Rhinolophus ferrumequinum: one gene and its partner. The protein of the gene in region 2 interacts with the protein of the main gene of each other region in a biochemical or structural test. Links are inferred from orthologs where the notes say so. Each region holds a gene or a part of one and is shown on either strand. Other genes may lie near its edges.

Evidence for each region.
Region 1: the proteins of PICK1 (region 2) and GRM7 form a complex in vitro, tested with the Homo sapiens proteins (2 studies listed by BioGRID, with this or other methods). The link is inferred for Rhinolophus ferrumequinum from reciprocal best matches to the Homo sapiens genes PICK1 and GRM7.

What each region holds. Positions count from the first base shown.
Region 1 is NC_046300.1:46,598,364-46,605,213, forward strand, and holds the start of GRM7 (metabotropic glutamate receptor 7), read right to left. Parts: upstream 3,008-6,850; 5' UTR 2,690-3,007; coding exon 2,171-2,689; intron 1-2,170. UniProt on the Homo sapiens protein: G-protein coupled receptor activated by glutamate that regulates axon outgrowth through the MAPK-cAMP-PKA signaling pathway during neuronal development.
Region 2 is NC_046293.1:8,946,441-8,953,891, reverse strand, and holds the start of PICK1 (PRKCA-binding protein), read left to right. Parts: upstream 1-4,451; 5' UTR 4,452-4,674; exon of another isoform or gene 4,675-4,771; intron 4,772-4,909; 5' UTR 4,910-4,966; coding exon 4,967-5,007; intron 5,008-6,115; coding exon 6,116-6,227; intron 6,228-7,451. UniProt on the Homo sapiens protein: Probable adapter protein that bind to and organize the subcellular localization of a variety of membrane proteins containing some PDZ recognition sequence.

The DNA.
Region 1 (6,850 bases), on a different chromosome or scaffold from region 2:
TTCTCTGAATGGTTTTGGTCCCAACCCACACTGTTAACACTGGCTAACACTGGGTTCCTTTCCTTCCCAGCCCAGGGAATGAGGGAACTAAGTGTAAAGCAAGCTGTTTCTATCCCCACAGGTGCTCTCAGGTTCACACACCAGAAGCGGAATCAGCTCCCCCTGGAATCCTTTTCAGCAAACACCAACCTAGTCTGCAATCTCTCTCTCTCTCTCTCTCTCTCTCTCTCTCTCTCTCTCTCTCTCTCCTTCAACATTTCACTCTTATTTCATACAGCCCCATCTGCAGTACTGCCATGCTCTGAGTGAAAGCAGAATCAGGCAGCAAAATAATATAAAAATGCTAAACCAAACACACCTTCAACTCCCAGGGCTCAGGACACCCTGTGGACTGCCCCAGTCATCTCAGGTGATCTCTGACCTCATCCTCTCCTGCAGCACTGCCTCCTGACTTGTCTAGCTTTAAGCTCAGAGATGAAGGAAGTGTTGGGGTTTTGCTTACAACAACCCAGGCTCCTCCTGAAAGCGTCAACTCAGAGTGAAAGCTGTCCCCAAAGCACTTTTGGGTTTGCCAACCCCCAGGGTCTCCATGATGGCATACTTAGGAGGTGTTCGGGAGGCTCAGAGAGGCCATACCAGGCTGCAGCCTTGGAGGGCACCCCACCTTCTGACGCAAAACAAACTTCACACTCCTGGGAGCTGATGTGATGACAGCTTGATTCTCACAAGGAGTCCCCTCCAGAAACCCAGCACCCTTGGGAAAAGCACTTGATGGGGTGCCTGATTCTTTGGCTATGGGGAGCATAAGGGCACCAGTCAGCCCAAACATCTGGAGAAGAGATTAACTGGGCATGGGTATTACCCATGGAGAGACCTGTGCATTAGGAAAGGATCGTCTCCAGACGGAGACGAACAAAACACTTGGCGGTGGGGGTAGAGAGGGAGAAGAAAGGCAAAAATTGAAAGGGGGAAAAAGGCAGGGAGACAGAGAAAGACACACAGGGAGGCACACGGAGAAACAAGACGGGAACCAACCCACAGTCACGCAGACCCTGAAACTCAATTTCTTAACCCCAAAGCTATCCATTTATACCCACTGCAGCACCGGAGCTACGGGACGGAGGCTGCGGAGCGGCGGCGGGAGAGCACTGCGGTGGAGCCCACCGCTCAGCTGCCCGGATCCGCCTTCCTCCCGTTTCGCCGTCGCCCTCCGGCGCCCGGAGCAGCACCGCCAGGCCTTGCTCAGCGCACCCCACTGCCTCGCTCCAGAAGCCCTTTTGCATGGCTCGGGAATCGTCCTAGGGGCCCAGGATTGGGGTTGGGGGCTGCGTCAGGGAGGTCGTGGGAAAAGACGGGCGGAGGGAGGAGGCAGCGAAAGCGATTTTGTTTCGCAGTTAGCATGAGCTCATCTCTGGCTCTGAAGTGACAGGAGTAGAAAGCTGATCGCCCAGCTCCTCCTGCCAGTGGCGGGACTGCAAATGCAATTTAGACGGTGCAAACATTTGCCCACAGCAGATCCCCAGGGGGTCATATCTGCGGGTGGCATCTCCCCCACTTGCGGAACGTCCCCGTGCCTTCCGCCCCTGCCCTCGCAGAGACAGGCTACAGGTCAGGAAATCCAACCCGACAGAGATGGGCAGTTAACCTCCTTATTGTAGGTGAAGACCTAGTCCCGGGTTTAAGAAGTGCCTCCCTAAGCTCTTCAATTTTTCCAAGGAAGCTGAGGCTTGCTGGTAGGCTTGGGGCTGGGGAGCTGGGGAGTTGAGAAATGCCCAGGTTCCAGGCGTCTTCTCATCCTTCATATTCCATGCGCCTAAACGGCTCTCACCCGGCACTTTTACAAGCCTGTTTTCGGACCATATTTCACCCTAATGCAAACCCATTTAAATCATCGCCTTGTTTTTCGCATATTGCTTCTTATAAATGGGGCCATAAATCCAGGAAGTCAAGCCTGATGGAGTGGAGCGCGCACAGGGGAGAGATGGAAGGGAAGTGAACCAAGCAGGGAAGGTACCTCCTCGGGTGGGGTGGGAGGGATTCGGCAGGATCTCCAGGGTGTAAATGCACGAAGGCGAACCTGACCCCTCATCCCTGGAGTCCAAACCAGCTTTTAGGATTGAGAGCGCAGGGAGCTACGTCCCGCTCTGCCCCGGAGGGAGCGCCCCCCTACCTGGAAGAGCCTCAGGATGTTGGCTACCATGATGGAGACCGAACTCCCCGAAGCCCCAATCACTCCAACTACTTTCTCCGGCTTGACAAAGACCGGAGGCTCCCCGTTGGTGCAGCGCACATCGGAGGTGTCCTTCTGGATGAGCGCCTGGACGAAAGTGAGCGACTGTTCGAGCGCGTAAGTGTCCCTGGAACAAGTGTCCAGGATCCGCGCGCCTAGCGTCACGTTGGGCAGCAGGTTGGGATCGCTGTTGATCTGGTCCAGGGCGTAGAGCATCGCTTCCAGCCTGTGGATCCCGTTCTCTCTCTTGATGTCGCCGCAGGGCACTCCGCTGGGACCCTTGGCGTGCACAGGGAACAGCCCCCCGAGGGTGACGTCCCCCTCGATCCGGATAGAGTGTGGGGCGTACATCTCCTGGCCGCGTGCCGCCGCCGCCAGAGCGCACAGGAGCACCTCCAGCACGCAGCAGGGGAACTTCATCAAAGTCAGGACGCGGAGCAGCTTCCCCAGCTGGACCATGCTGCTCCGGCTGCTGCGGTGGCGGCGGCGGCGCTGAAGGAGACCGTGGCGGGCTCGCCGGGGTCCGGGCTTCTTGGGGTGAGCTCTTCCCGGGAAGACCCAAAACTCCTGCAGGCACGGAGGGTGGGGGCGCCCGGGAACGGGCGGCCGGAGAGGAAGGGGGGTCCCGCGGCGCCTGCCAGCTTGGGGCTCCGAGCGCTCTCGGGTTCCCGGCCCGCGCGCCGCGCTCGCGCTCCCCGGCTCGCGGCTCGCACTCTTCAACAGCCCAGCACTGGGGAGAGGGCTCGGATTGCTATCGCTTTAAATGGTCTTTCGGCTCCCTCTCCTCCGCCTCCTCCCACTCCCTCCCTCCCTCGCTGGCTCTCAGTCTCTCCCCACCCTTTGCAGCGCCCGCCCTCCCCACTGGTTTGCATCATCACGCAGGGAGGGGCTGCGTGCTGAGGTAAGGGGGGGGCAAGGGTGGGCGGCTGGCAGCGGTGGGGAGTGCCTCGGAGAGGGAGTTTCTCGGTCCCCAGGGAATCTAGGGATTGCAGGTCGCAGGCGAGGGCTGAGCTCTTGTCCCCATCTCACTGTAGAAGCCTCTTGCTCGCCCGCCTGCACCCGTACGCACATCCCAGGCACCGGTGGTATCAGCCCCGGGATGGGGCGAGAATGTCTGGTTCTGACCGCTCCCAACCCTGAGGTCCAGAGTCCAGACTCTCAGCTCCGGGAGGACGCCAGGGAGTCGCAAGGTGAAAAGGCCGTGATGGAGAGGAGTGGGAAGACCCCAGTCTGTACTGCCGACCCGCCAGTGCCAGCTTTTCCTAAGAAAAAGAACATACACAGAGGAGCCGGACCCATGACTTAAAGAACCTTTGCCCAGAGACTTCTCCAGGGCCAGGCACTGGGCTACCCCGTAAGGAAACACCCAAACAAGAAACGTTAGGAATGGGAGTACATTCTTGGTCTTCGGCAGTTACTGGGGCCAGAGCCAGATGAACGAAGTCACTGCCATCGCCAGCTAATCTGTGATGGAAAGCCTGCACTTGACCCTTTTCTTTCTTTCCTCTCAAGAGATGGAACAACTGAGACCTCTGCAGAGCACTTTCTCCTCTGGCACTGACAGGTGTAAGGCGCCCTCCTACCCATTTCCAGAGATGCCTCTGGGCTGATGACAGGTTTTCCAGGGCAGGAAACAGCAGGAAAGAGGTGATAGTAGGAGGAAGAAAGAAGGGCAGACAGAAGTGTCTTCAATGATTCAGAATGCCTTTCTCCCTTTTCTTTGGCTGGAGATTGGGGGGCAAAATCAGGATAACCAGAGTAGGTTGCAGTGCAATTAGGAAGCTGTTTTTCAAAAGTGTCATCTCCTGCAGGCCGAGCGTGAACTTGGTCCATTAAAGCAACAGGTGACCCTAGGAAAGGTGATGTCTTTGTCCTTGGGGGCCCGAGTGGACTCGGAGGTTAACTCTGCTCTTCCTGACGCTTTCCTTTGGAGTGCAGCAAAACTCTAGTGCAAGGACTTGAGGGTGAGAGAAAACCAGAAACAAGACTCTACTTTTTGTTGTTCTTACTAATGTACCCCCCCCAAAAAAAAGTCCTTGTACACATATACACATGCAAACACACACACAACAAAAAGCACAAGATAAGTAGTTGCTTGTCTTTACCACCAAGTAGCTGTGTATCCTTGGCATTTCTATTTCCCTGTCTGGGTTTTAGATTCCCCATCTGTAAAATGATGAGATTGAATTGGATGCTCTCCAAATTATCTTTTAACTCTCAACTCCTCTGTTAAAATAGGCCATATCCCTTTGGCCATGGTGCTCTTTTTAGGCCAATATGCTCTGTTGCTGAATGTGTAGCAGACCAGTTGTTTGCTATTCAAAGAACATCACAAATGTGTCCTGGTATACAGGACATTTTTTATATTTCCTTGCCCACCATCTAGTCCTCTTTCTTCTAAGGACAGTCCAGTCCATTAATTTATTTTTGGATGTGCCCTTCCTCCACATTTCAAAATTTAAGGTTTGAGAAAAACAGATGCCACTTCTCATCATTCAGCCTTGGCTACTTGAAGCATGGGGTCCTTCTAGCTACTATGTGACGATATGTTCAAGGATTGGGATGGAACCCAATGAGAGCCATCGAGGGCCAATCCCTGGACTTCGCTGCAGTAACCAGGGTCGTCACCCAGGGTTACCAGTAGCCAACAGACAATCTGTGCATGAGTTAGAGAAAAAAGCCCCCTCTACCCTCGCCATCCTCAAACGCTTTATATCATTTGGAAAATGTTATACTATTCTAATTCTAATTTGTAAGAACATAACATGTACTGCCATCTTCTAGAAAACGGCGCTGCAGTTAATATACTAATCTACTGTTGCACACAATGTGATTATCAGTGGCTCTTACATGCGATGCCCTACTACGTATGTGCTCACCTTGCATTACACTGTGATGGCCCGCTCCTTCCTGCCAGTCCTTGGGCTGTGAGGAGAACAAGCCTGTGTGCCAGGAGTTTCCACATAAACAAGGAGATGTTTCCCATGATAAAAGATACAAGAGAGGGAGAAGGAAGAGGAAGAGAGAATGGGGATAGAGATAGGTGGGGCCTGATTACAACATTTGAACTCCTGGATTCCTGCTCGCCTGAAAGATTGCCTCTGGGTTTTTTCAGTTATATAGTATTTTCTTTCTTTTGTTTGAAGACAAAAAGATCCTCTTTTAATTAACTTGTTCTAATACACCAGATCAAAAAGGGCAGAACAGCTGAAATAGACAACTTGTTAAGGTAGCATCGGCTAATTTGGAAAGAGAAAAAGCAGCAAACAAAGCAACAGAAAGGCATGCTTGGGAACAAAATTCTATGATCCTAATATTTAGGCATTGGTGCCTCAGGCTGTGTTTGACAGAGACTATATCCTAAGTTTTAAATTTAAGACTATTTATTAGGAACTTGGTGACAAAAAAATATTTGGAGAGATGGGTCTCAAGTATTGTCATTTGATTTTTTTCCTGTTCATGTCTGGATCCATGTTCTACTCTTCCATTTCTATTTCATACCTGGTGATTGCTCAATAAATATGTCTTGGCTGACTATCGAATATTGCCTTATTCTGTGTTCTCCCTTTGCTCTGCTCATTCTCCCTAAACATCTGGCAGCAATCATTATCTTCTTTTCATTGCAGTCATCTGTGCGCATGTCTTATTTCCCCTGCCAAGTTGTAAGATCCTTGAGGGTAAGGGCTGGGTATTATTTATCATTTCTTCCGGACAATGTTTAGAATGATGTTTTGTACCTAAGGGGCACTCATGTGTTGAATGAATCAGAACTGGTGTTGCCATTCCCCACTGCCTTTATCTGACAGTGACTGAAATGTAAAGTGGCGGAGCAGAAATGATGGCAGATAAATTGCTGTCCTCTGTCACGGTATGCAGTTTCTAGAGTGTAAATTATAATTAGTACATTTAGAAATTATTCTGTTTTACGGAAATTGCATAAGATTGAAATGCTCTAACTTGAACACTCTTGATCACCTCTAAAGGAAGGTATTCATTGGTTCTTCCTGAGTCAAATGTTCATTCCTGGAGCAATAACTGGGGTTGTTGCCATAGACTGGCTGAGGAAGGTCAAAGCCAGGCACTAGCACCACCTGAACTAAATAGAAAGGGTGATCTGTTACCAGATAAATGGGAAATTGATACTGAGCTTGCAAAACCTACAAACATCCAGCACATATGTTATCTAATTCATCTTTATATTTTTAGTCACAGTGTATAATAGGGACACAGTATTTGTGGGGTTTTTTTTGAGATTATGTGAATGGAAAGCGTTTGTGTAAAAGTGGTTAATCTAAAACTCGGCCAGTCATTTTTGTAGTGTCCTATTTAATTGGAGGAGAATCTAGTTTTAGGCAGAAAGATGGTCCATTATAAAATGTGTTCACAGGCTTGGGTCTGTGTAGTTATTAATCTGACCTCATAAAGGAATTACTGAAAATGAATAAATAAAGTTAAGAGCTCAATCCTAATTTATATTCTTAGGATTGTGTTTCCATAATCATCTCAGTTTTACTTATTTTCTTTGTTGTTTTACTTTGTCCATTATCTTCTGAAGACAATAATGTCTCCACTTCAAATCCCTCTCTGTTTAAATCCAATTTGTAATTTACAAAGTTGTCT
Region 2 (7,451 bases):
CCCAGGGTTTGTTCCACGTGTAATGGGAAGACTTTGGAGGGGGTCGAGCAGGGGAGTGCCATGGTCTGACTTAACTTTAAAACCAACACTTGGTCTCTTATGAGAGCCATTTTGCCGTGGAGACCACCGCTCAGAGAGGTCAAGTGACATTTCTGTGGTCACACAGCTGGTCTCAGCCAATGCTCTGTCCAGCCCACCACCAACTCCCCACAAGTCCACATTGGCACCCTTTCCCACTGGGCTCCCCTTTAGATTTGGGGCCTCGCCCAATGCACTGAAGTGGGAGGTGTTACCTAGTTTTAGGGACTGCTGTGTCCACTCATGTCAGGGTGGGACCTTGCTTTTCTTGTTCCCCGAAATGTCAGCCTAGACGTAGTAGGTATTAATACAATTTATCGAATGAATGAATGAATGAATGAATGAATGAATATATAGGTGAATGACTAACCTCACTTAAAAGGGCTGTGGTGAGGTTCGCATGAGACAATGAATGGAAGCACCTTGGCAAGGGGCCCAATGCACAGTAAATGCCCAGTAAGTGTTGGCTGCTGGTATTTGTGTCACTATCTGTTCGATTTTAAAACCCATGCCTTATGTATCTCAGCTGAACAGCACCCACTAACCCCTCGTTTCTTGCCCTTTACAGGAGTCTGCAAAGTCAGTGTGAGTCAGGCCCTGTGCTGGGGCCACAGCAGTGCTGAGGGTACGCATGTCCAACACAGCATGGCACACGTACAGCCAGCCTCATCCATCGCCTACAGGCTACAAAGCCTGAGCAGGGCTGGGCGGTGACAAGGACAGGAGTGGACAGGTGGGGGGAACTCTCCTGCCACTCTGGTGCCCCGGGGGTGTTTCTCCTGATGGCCACTGGGTGGCAGCACATCCCCAGGAATATTGGATTGGGGGGGCAAGCTTTTCCAGATTGAACCTGAGGTTTGGGAACTGAGGGGCGGAATCTTGCAGGGGACCCAGGCCCAAGAGAGATTGGGGTCACACAGCTTTCAGTGGTAGGGTTAGGCCAGGTGAGAGGTCACCCGGCTGCCTGGGTAGACTCAAAAGCGGAGCAGGGGAGAAGGAGGAGGCGCAATCTTGGACAGAGAGGGTCTGAGGACTAGTCCTGGCTCAGCCTCCTGGAAGTGGGTGGATGTCCTCGCCCCCATTTCAACCCTTGCAATCCTACCCATCTTGAAGCAGGTGCTCAAACCTCCCCTCTGAGGCCCTTGTTGACCCCTCTCACCTGTGACTCTGGCAGAAATAACGGTTCTCCCCAAGTTTTCACTTGGACTTAGTGACCTCATCACCCCTGTCACTGCTCCTACTGTCTGTTTCAGTCCCCCTCACCCCACCACAGTGACTTCCTGAGCACAGGGACTGTTCCTTGTAACCTCCACTGCCCGCACCACCTGTGCCGTCTGCCTGTGTCACCTGCCTTGGGTACACCTTCCTCAGGACTCAGCTGAGAGGTCGCATCCTCCAGGAAGCCTTCCCAGGCCTTTGGCTCCTCCTAATGTGAGGACTTTGGAGCAAGGATTCTTGGCACCAGAGGCCTCACCCTCAGGAGGAACAGGCCCACCGGCTGCACAGACACTGTACATCCTGAGCCTCTGAGACAGCCGTCCGCTGCAGTTAGCAACGAAATGGCCCATGGAGCTTTGTGAAAATCCTCCTTCCCCAGAGATGGATCCAATAGGTTTGCGACAGAGCCCAGGAATCTGCACGTAAGACGCTTCCCAGATGAGTCTGATGCAGGCGCCTGAGCATCCAATGGCCCTTTAGGTGTGTCCTACGCCCAGCCCTCTGAAGCAGTCAGGCAAAATGATTACAGTGAGGAATGACAATAAAAACCTCTGACATCTGTGCCAAGTGAATCGCTCACAAAGCACTTTCAGACTCGCTTTTCTCTTTTAGTTCCGTCTTTATAACTCCTATCTTGGGAGGCATCATCCCCATTCTGCACATACCTGAGGCTCAGAGGAAAAGGGCAATTGGCCCAACATCCCCCAGCTACAAATTAGCAGAGCTCGGATTTGGTCTGGGGTCGTCCTGGGGTGGCAGAGCTGCAGGCTATGTTAAAACTCCTAGGTTGGAGGTTGCTGTTTGCTGAAAACTGAAATTCCAAAATTCAGGACCTATACTTGGTGATTCCAGCCCCATGGGGGAAGCTCAGGCCACTGCCATTGTCCAGGTTCAGGCCCTCATCATCTCGTTCCCTCTCTGCCCATCCATGTCCTCTCCTCCAGGGCTGAGGGACCGTCCCATCTCATATAAAGCCACAGCTATTTCTATGCACTTCATCCACAGCCAGGTATTGTGCTCCAGGTGTGTGCAAGATGCAGAGAATGGCAAGACCTGCCCCCAGGCGCTTCCTGTCCAGCTGGGGATACAAGAATTGATTACTTTGGTGATGGAACATGGTACTCCAACTTTCTTTCCCCTCAAATAAATTCATGGTCCCAACCTCACCCCCTTAATTGGCTGGAACAGGTTCCATGCTCTGTGAGCTGACCCAGGAGACCCCGCTCCACTGACAAACATAAAGTGGGTCATAATACTTCACTCTAACAGGCGTTACAAAGCAATCTGATTTTCTTTTTCTTGTCACAGTGACACTTATTGATGGATTCTTAGCGTCCTATGGAAGGTGTGAATGCCAGGGAGTATAAAGTCCGGATAGACAGGGAGAAGCAGTTCACAATTTGTCAAGATATGAGCCCTAGGTCCTAATTTTAAAGGAGAAAAAGCTTCCCCAGACAAAATACAAGCATGTAATAGTTAATGGCTCAAAGAAGCCAGGCAGGATTTCCCAAGGCAATACAAAAGTAATTTTCAAGTGAACAATCTAAATAACAACTATTTTAGGAGCTCAGAAAAAGGGGCAGCTTTGTGAGCTGGGATCGTCTGGTAAAACTCCCCAGAAGAGGTGGATTAGATAGAGCTGGGTAGGAAGAGAGAGAAGATAAAGCAAACAAGAGGGGTCTGGGCATCTTGCCCTCACCTGAGAAGAGGGTCCTGAGTAGGTTGGGGTCAAGAGGGCGGAGTGAATCTGTGCCATGTGAATTCTTTACAAAGCACTCGCACCTGTTTCTCCTTTTTATCTTGACCTTCACAAGTACCTGTGGAGAGGATCACTGTCCCCGGTTTACAGATACCCAAAGCTCAGAGTCATGCAGTGACTTGCCCAAGATCCCCCAGCTACAAAATGGCAATGTCCGGGCTTGAGCTAGAGCTATTGTGTGGTGGGAGAGCCACAGCCCATGTGAAAGTATCTGGGTCTGGAGGCTGCTGCTTTTTAAAACCGAAACTCTGGCCTGCAAACAGGGTTTGGAGGTTCCAGCCCTAGCTCTGCCTAGGGCCACCTGTGACACAAGGGGAAGCTGTTTCCCTGAGCCTCAGGGTCCTTACCTGCAGAGTGGAGCTGACAATACTTGTTCTCCTCTCACAGGGCTGCGGTGAACTTTAAAATCCCATGGAAGTGATCTGAACTGCAAAGCAGTTCAGGGTACGTGGGACAGTTTTTGTTATTGTGGCATTCTGAACATCTGCTGTGACTCAGATTAACTCCCTAAGGAGGAGGTGGTGGGGATCGCATTAGGCTATGGGATATGCAGATAATCATTTTTGTGATTCTCTCCTTCCTCCAAAGCCCCCGGGGCAGCTAGGGAAGGAAGCTGGACAGGCCTGGGCCCATGCTCCCTGGACAAGATCGATGCCAAGGCTGTGGCTCTGTGAGCACCAACCCCCTTTAGGGAACCCGCTTTGCACAGTAGCAGTGGCTGCAGAGGCTGGCAGGGAGACGAGATTCGAACTCCTGGGCCGTGAAGCACTGATGGCATTTCCTGGCCCTCAGTGAGACCCCAGAGGAGCTGCTCCTGAGGGCTAACAAAGGACATGGGTTGAGGAATCTTTCACCAAATACCAGAGAAAGCATCCCTACCTCAATACTCTTAGATTGCATATGGGGAAAGCAGGCATGTAAAGAGGAGGTAACTTGTCCAATGTGTCGTTAATAGCAGATCTGTGAACATAGGTATGCAGGTGTTAAAAGGGCACTGGATTAGGTGTCAGAGTCTCAAAGTCAAGATCTGGATCTTGTACCAACTGCAGGTGGCTCCGGACAGAATCCCTTTCCCTCTCTGGCACTTAGTTTCCTGGTCTGCAAAAATGGGGTTACGCTGGCTCCGACATGTCATTCTATTAATGGTAATACCCTAGGACAGAGTGCGGAAAATGTGGAAGGGTTTGTAGGCCATTGGACTTCGCCGGAAGTTTCCCCACCCAGGATGCTTCCGTTGCCACGGCAACCACCGGGCCAGTGGTCCTCAGCTTCCCGCTGAGGAATCTGGGAAGAACCTTGCCCTTATGAATATGGCGGCAGCCACAGGACAAGGGGTGGGGTTGAGCGCTGTCAGACTGTCCAGACCTTTCCTCTGTTTCCGCTTTCTCATGCTAACGGCGAGCTTCCGTCAATACTTGTTCTCTTTCCTGGTTCTGGGAGTCCCGGGAGCCAGGGAGGGAAGAGTTGCTTGCAGGGACTGGGGTAAATACCCGGGGGGGAAGGCGGGACTTCCGTGTCCGGCCGGAAGTGACGCGACAGTCACGGCCGCCGACAGGTGGAACGGCAGGTGGGTACAGGTGCCAGCCTGGCTGGGACGCGGCTGTGGACCGACGCTTCCGGTGAGCGACAGAGGCAGCCTCCAAGTGCCTGAAGACCCGGGGGAGAGATCTGGGATCTGAACCCAGCGCCCTGGCCTGGAGTCCCCCCCTATTCCTAGTAAGAATCACCTAGCCACTCGACAGGGATTACCCACGGTCCAGAGGGGAGTGGGAGGGTCTGGATCGCCAGGGTTGGGGTTGACATCTTGGCACTTGGGTTCCCTAAATCCTATGCTCCTTTCTCTCCCGGATCCAGCTCCCTATTCCCCTGCGGAACTGGGCAGTTAGCCAGCCCACTTCAACTCTCCGAACCATGTTTGCAGATTTGGATTATGATATCGAAGAGGATAAACTGTGAGTATTTTGTTCCCCCAAGTCCCAAAAGTGTAGGCGCCCCAAGTTCCCCAGACCCCAGGCTTGCCAGTTGCACCGACCCTTGTTTTTCAGCTGTGGATTAGGTCTTGTAGTGTAGCAGAACCGACCCTTCCCTTCCAGGAGCTCACCATCTGTAGGGGACTGTGGACACATCAACAGATAACTACAATTCAGGATCATAGGGCCTTAATGGAGAATCACCTGGCTACAAGGAGAGCAGAGCAGATGCAGCCTATGTAGGGATGTTCAGGGAAGGCTTCACCGAGGAGGTGGCAATTGAGCCAGGTTTCAAAGAATGAATAGAAACGTCGTAAACATACTGTCCTCCCCACTGTAGACGATTGGTGGGACACGTTTTCAAAAATTAAGTTAATCTCATTAGAATATATTCTCCTTCAGAGCAAGGACTGGGTCCAATGCCTTTTTGTGTTCTCAGCACTTTATAAGGTGCTTGACCGCAAGTAGGTTGTTAGCAAATGTTTGTGAGAAAGTGAATGAATTAGAATATTTACCACAAAACATAAGTAAGTGCTAATTTATAGTAAAAATTGAGAGGTGATTGAGTAGGGCAATTGAGAGATAGGTGTTGGATAGTTTAGCAGGAGAAGATTTCCCAGAGGAGGTGGACGTAACATTCCATATGTGCCTGAGAAGGTGACAAGGACAGAGTCTGACTTAAACCTCAGAGGTAGAATGAAGTAAAGGAAGGGGGACCTATTTTTACGGAGTGCTTGATATGGGCTGGGTTGTTGGTAAGTGCCTTCTAGGCACTTCTTACAATAACTTTGATGAAGTAGCCATTTTTTCCATATGATTTTATGGATGAGGAGACTGAGCTGCAAAGAAGTTGACTTACCCAAGTCCCGTAGTTGATTAATGGCAGAGCTGGGAGGAGGGCCCACGTCTGTGTGACTCCAAGAGCTGTGCACATTCCAGCACAAAATGCTGTCTCTCTGGCCAAATGAGAAAGAGAAAAGGCTGTGCAGCATTTGGAGCCTCTTGGGGTTTTAGAGGGCCCGTCCCCTTCCCAATCCTCGCCAGTCATCCTTCCTCCGGGGGACTCAGCCTCTTGTGCTTCTCTTTCCAGTGGAATCCCTACCGTGCCCGGGAAGGTGACCCTGCAGAAGGATGCTCAGAACCTGATTGGGATCAGTATTGGAGGAGGGGCCCAGTACTGTCCCTGCCTCTACATTGTCCAGGTATTGGGTGCTTTGGAGGTGGGGGTGAGGTCCTGGAGAGAGCAAGCCACCTCCCTACTTGGCCATGACACAAGAGCTCCTTTCTCTACTCTGCAGAGCTGGCTCCTTTTCATTCTTGAGGTCTGACCTCCTAAGAGAGGGCTTCCTGACCACCCCTTCTCAGTAGGGCTGCCCTGGTTTTTCTTTGTTATTCCAGTATTTTCTTTTTCTTCTCGGTCCTTATCACCACCTGTAATCATGGGTTTGCTCTTTAGTTGTTTTATATCTAGCTGCTTTTTCAGATTCTTTGTGCCTGGGGCAGGATCCCAGGTTGCTTTTTTATCAGTACCTAGTATAATGCCTGACATAGACTAGGACTTCAAGAAAAATATCTTTAATGAATCAACAAACCACCAGCTTTTGGTACTAGCACAAGTGAAGTGTAGTGGAAAAACTAAAAGACTGAAATAATATTGGCCTGAGTTCAAATGTAAGCTTCCCTGCTTATTAGCAAGTTACTTACCCCTCCCTGGGCCTCAGTTTCCTCACCTGGAAAGTGGGGATATAAAATATGTAGATATGAGCATCTTTGGGTTGTTATGAAGATTAACAAAATGACATGACACAATGCCCGGTACTTAATAAGCACTCGTTAAATAGTAGCTGCTACTACTTTTATGGCAGTTGTTCACTTTCCCAGATGAACTGCCGGTGGTAGTGAACAATTTTGTGGTCCCTTGTAGAGGAAGCTGCACTGGTGATATTCTGTCAGCTGGGACTCAGGAGTAGAGACAGGCAGTGACCTTTCTGTAGCCTTGGAAGGAAGCTTGCCACCTTGGACATCCGAGGTGTGACAATTAAGTTCGTGAACTTGTTGCAGTGACGTTACTAACCTTCTTTGATATCAGAGGGATTATTTATTATGAATTTGCACCAACTGGACAGTAACCAAGTTTACTATTTGGAAGTGGTGGAAAGCCTGTGTGAAAAAGTTAGACAACCTGAACTTTTCACCAACAATTCATGGCTCTTGCATCACAACAATGCACTAGCTCACACGGCACTGTCTGTGAGGGAGTTTTTAGCCAGTAAACAAATAACTGTATTGGAACACCCTCCCTACTCACCTGATCTGGCCCCCAGTGACTTCTTTCTTTACCCGAAGATAAAGGAAATATTGAAAAGAAGACATTTTGATGACATTTAGGACCTCAAGGGTAATACGACGACAGCTCTGAAGTCCAT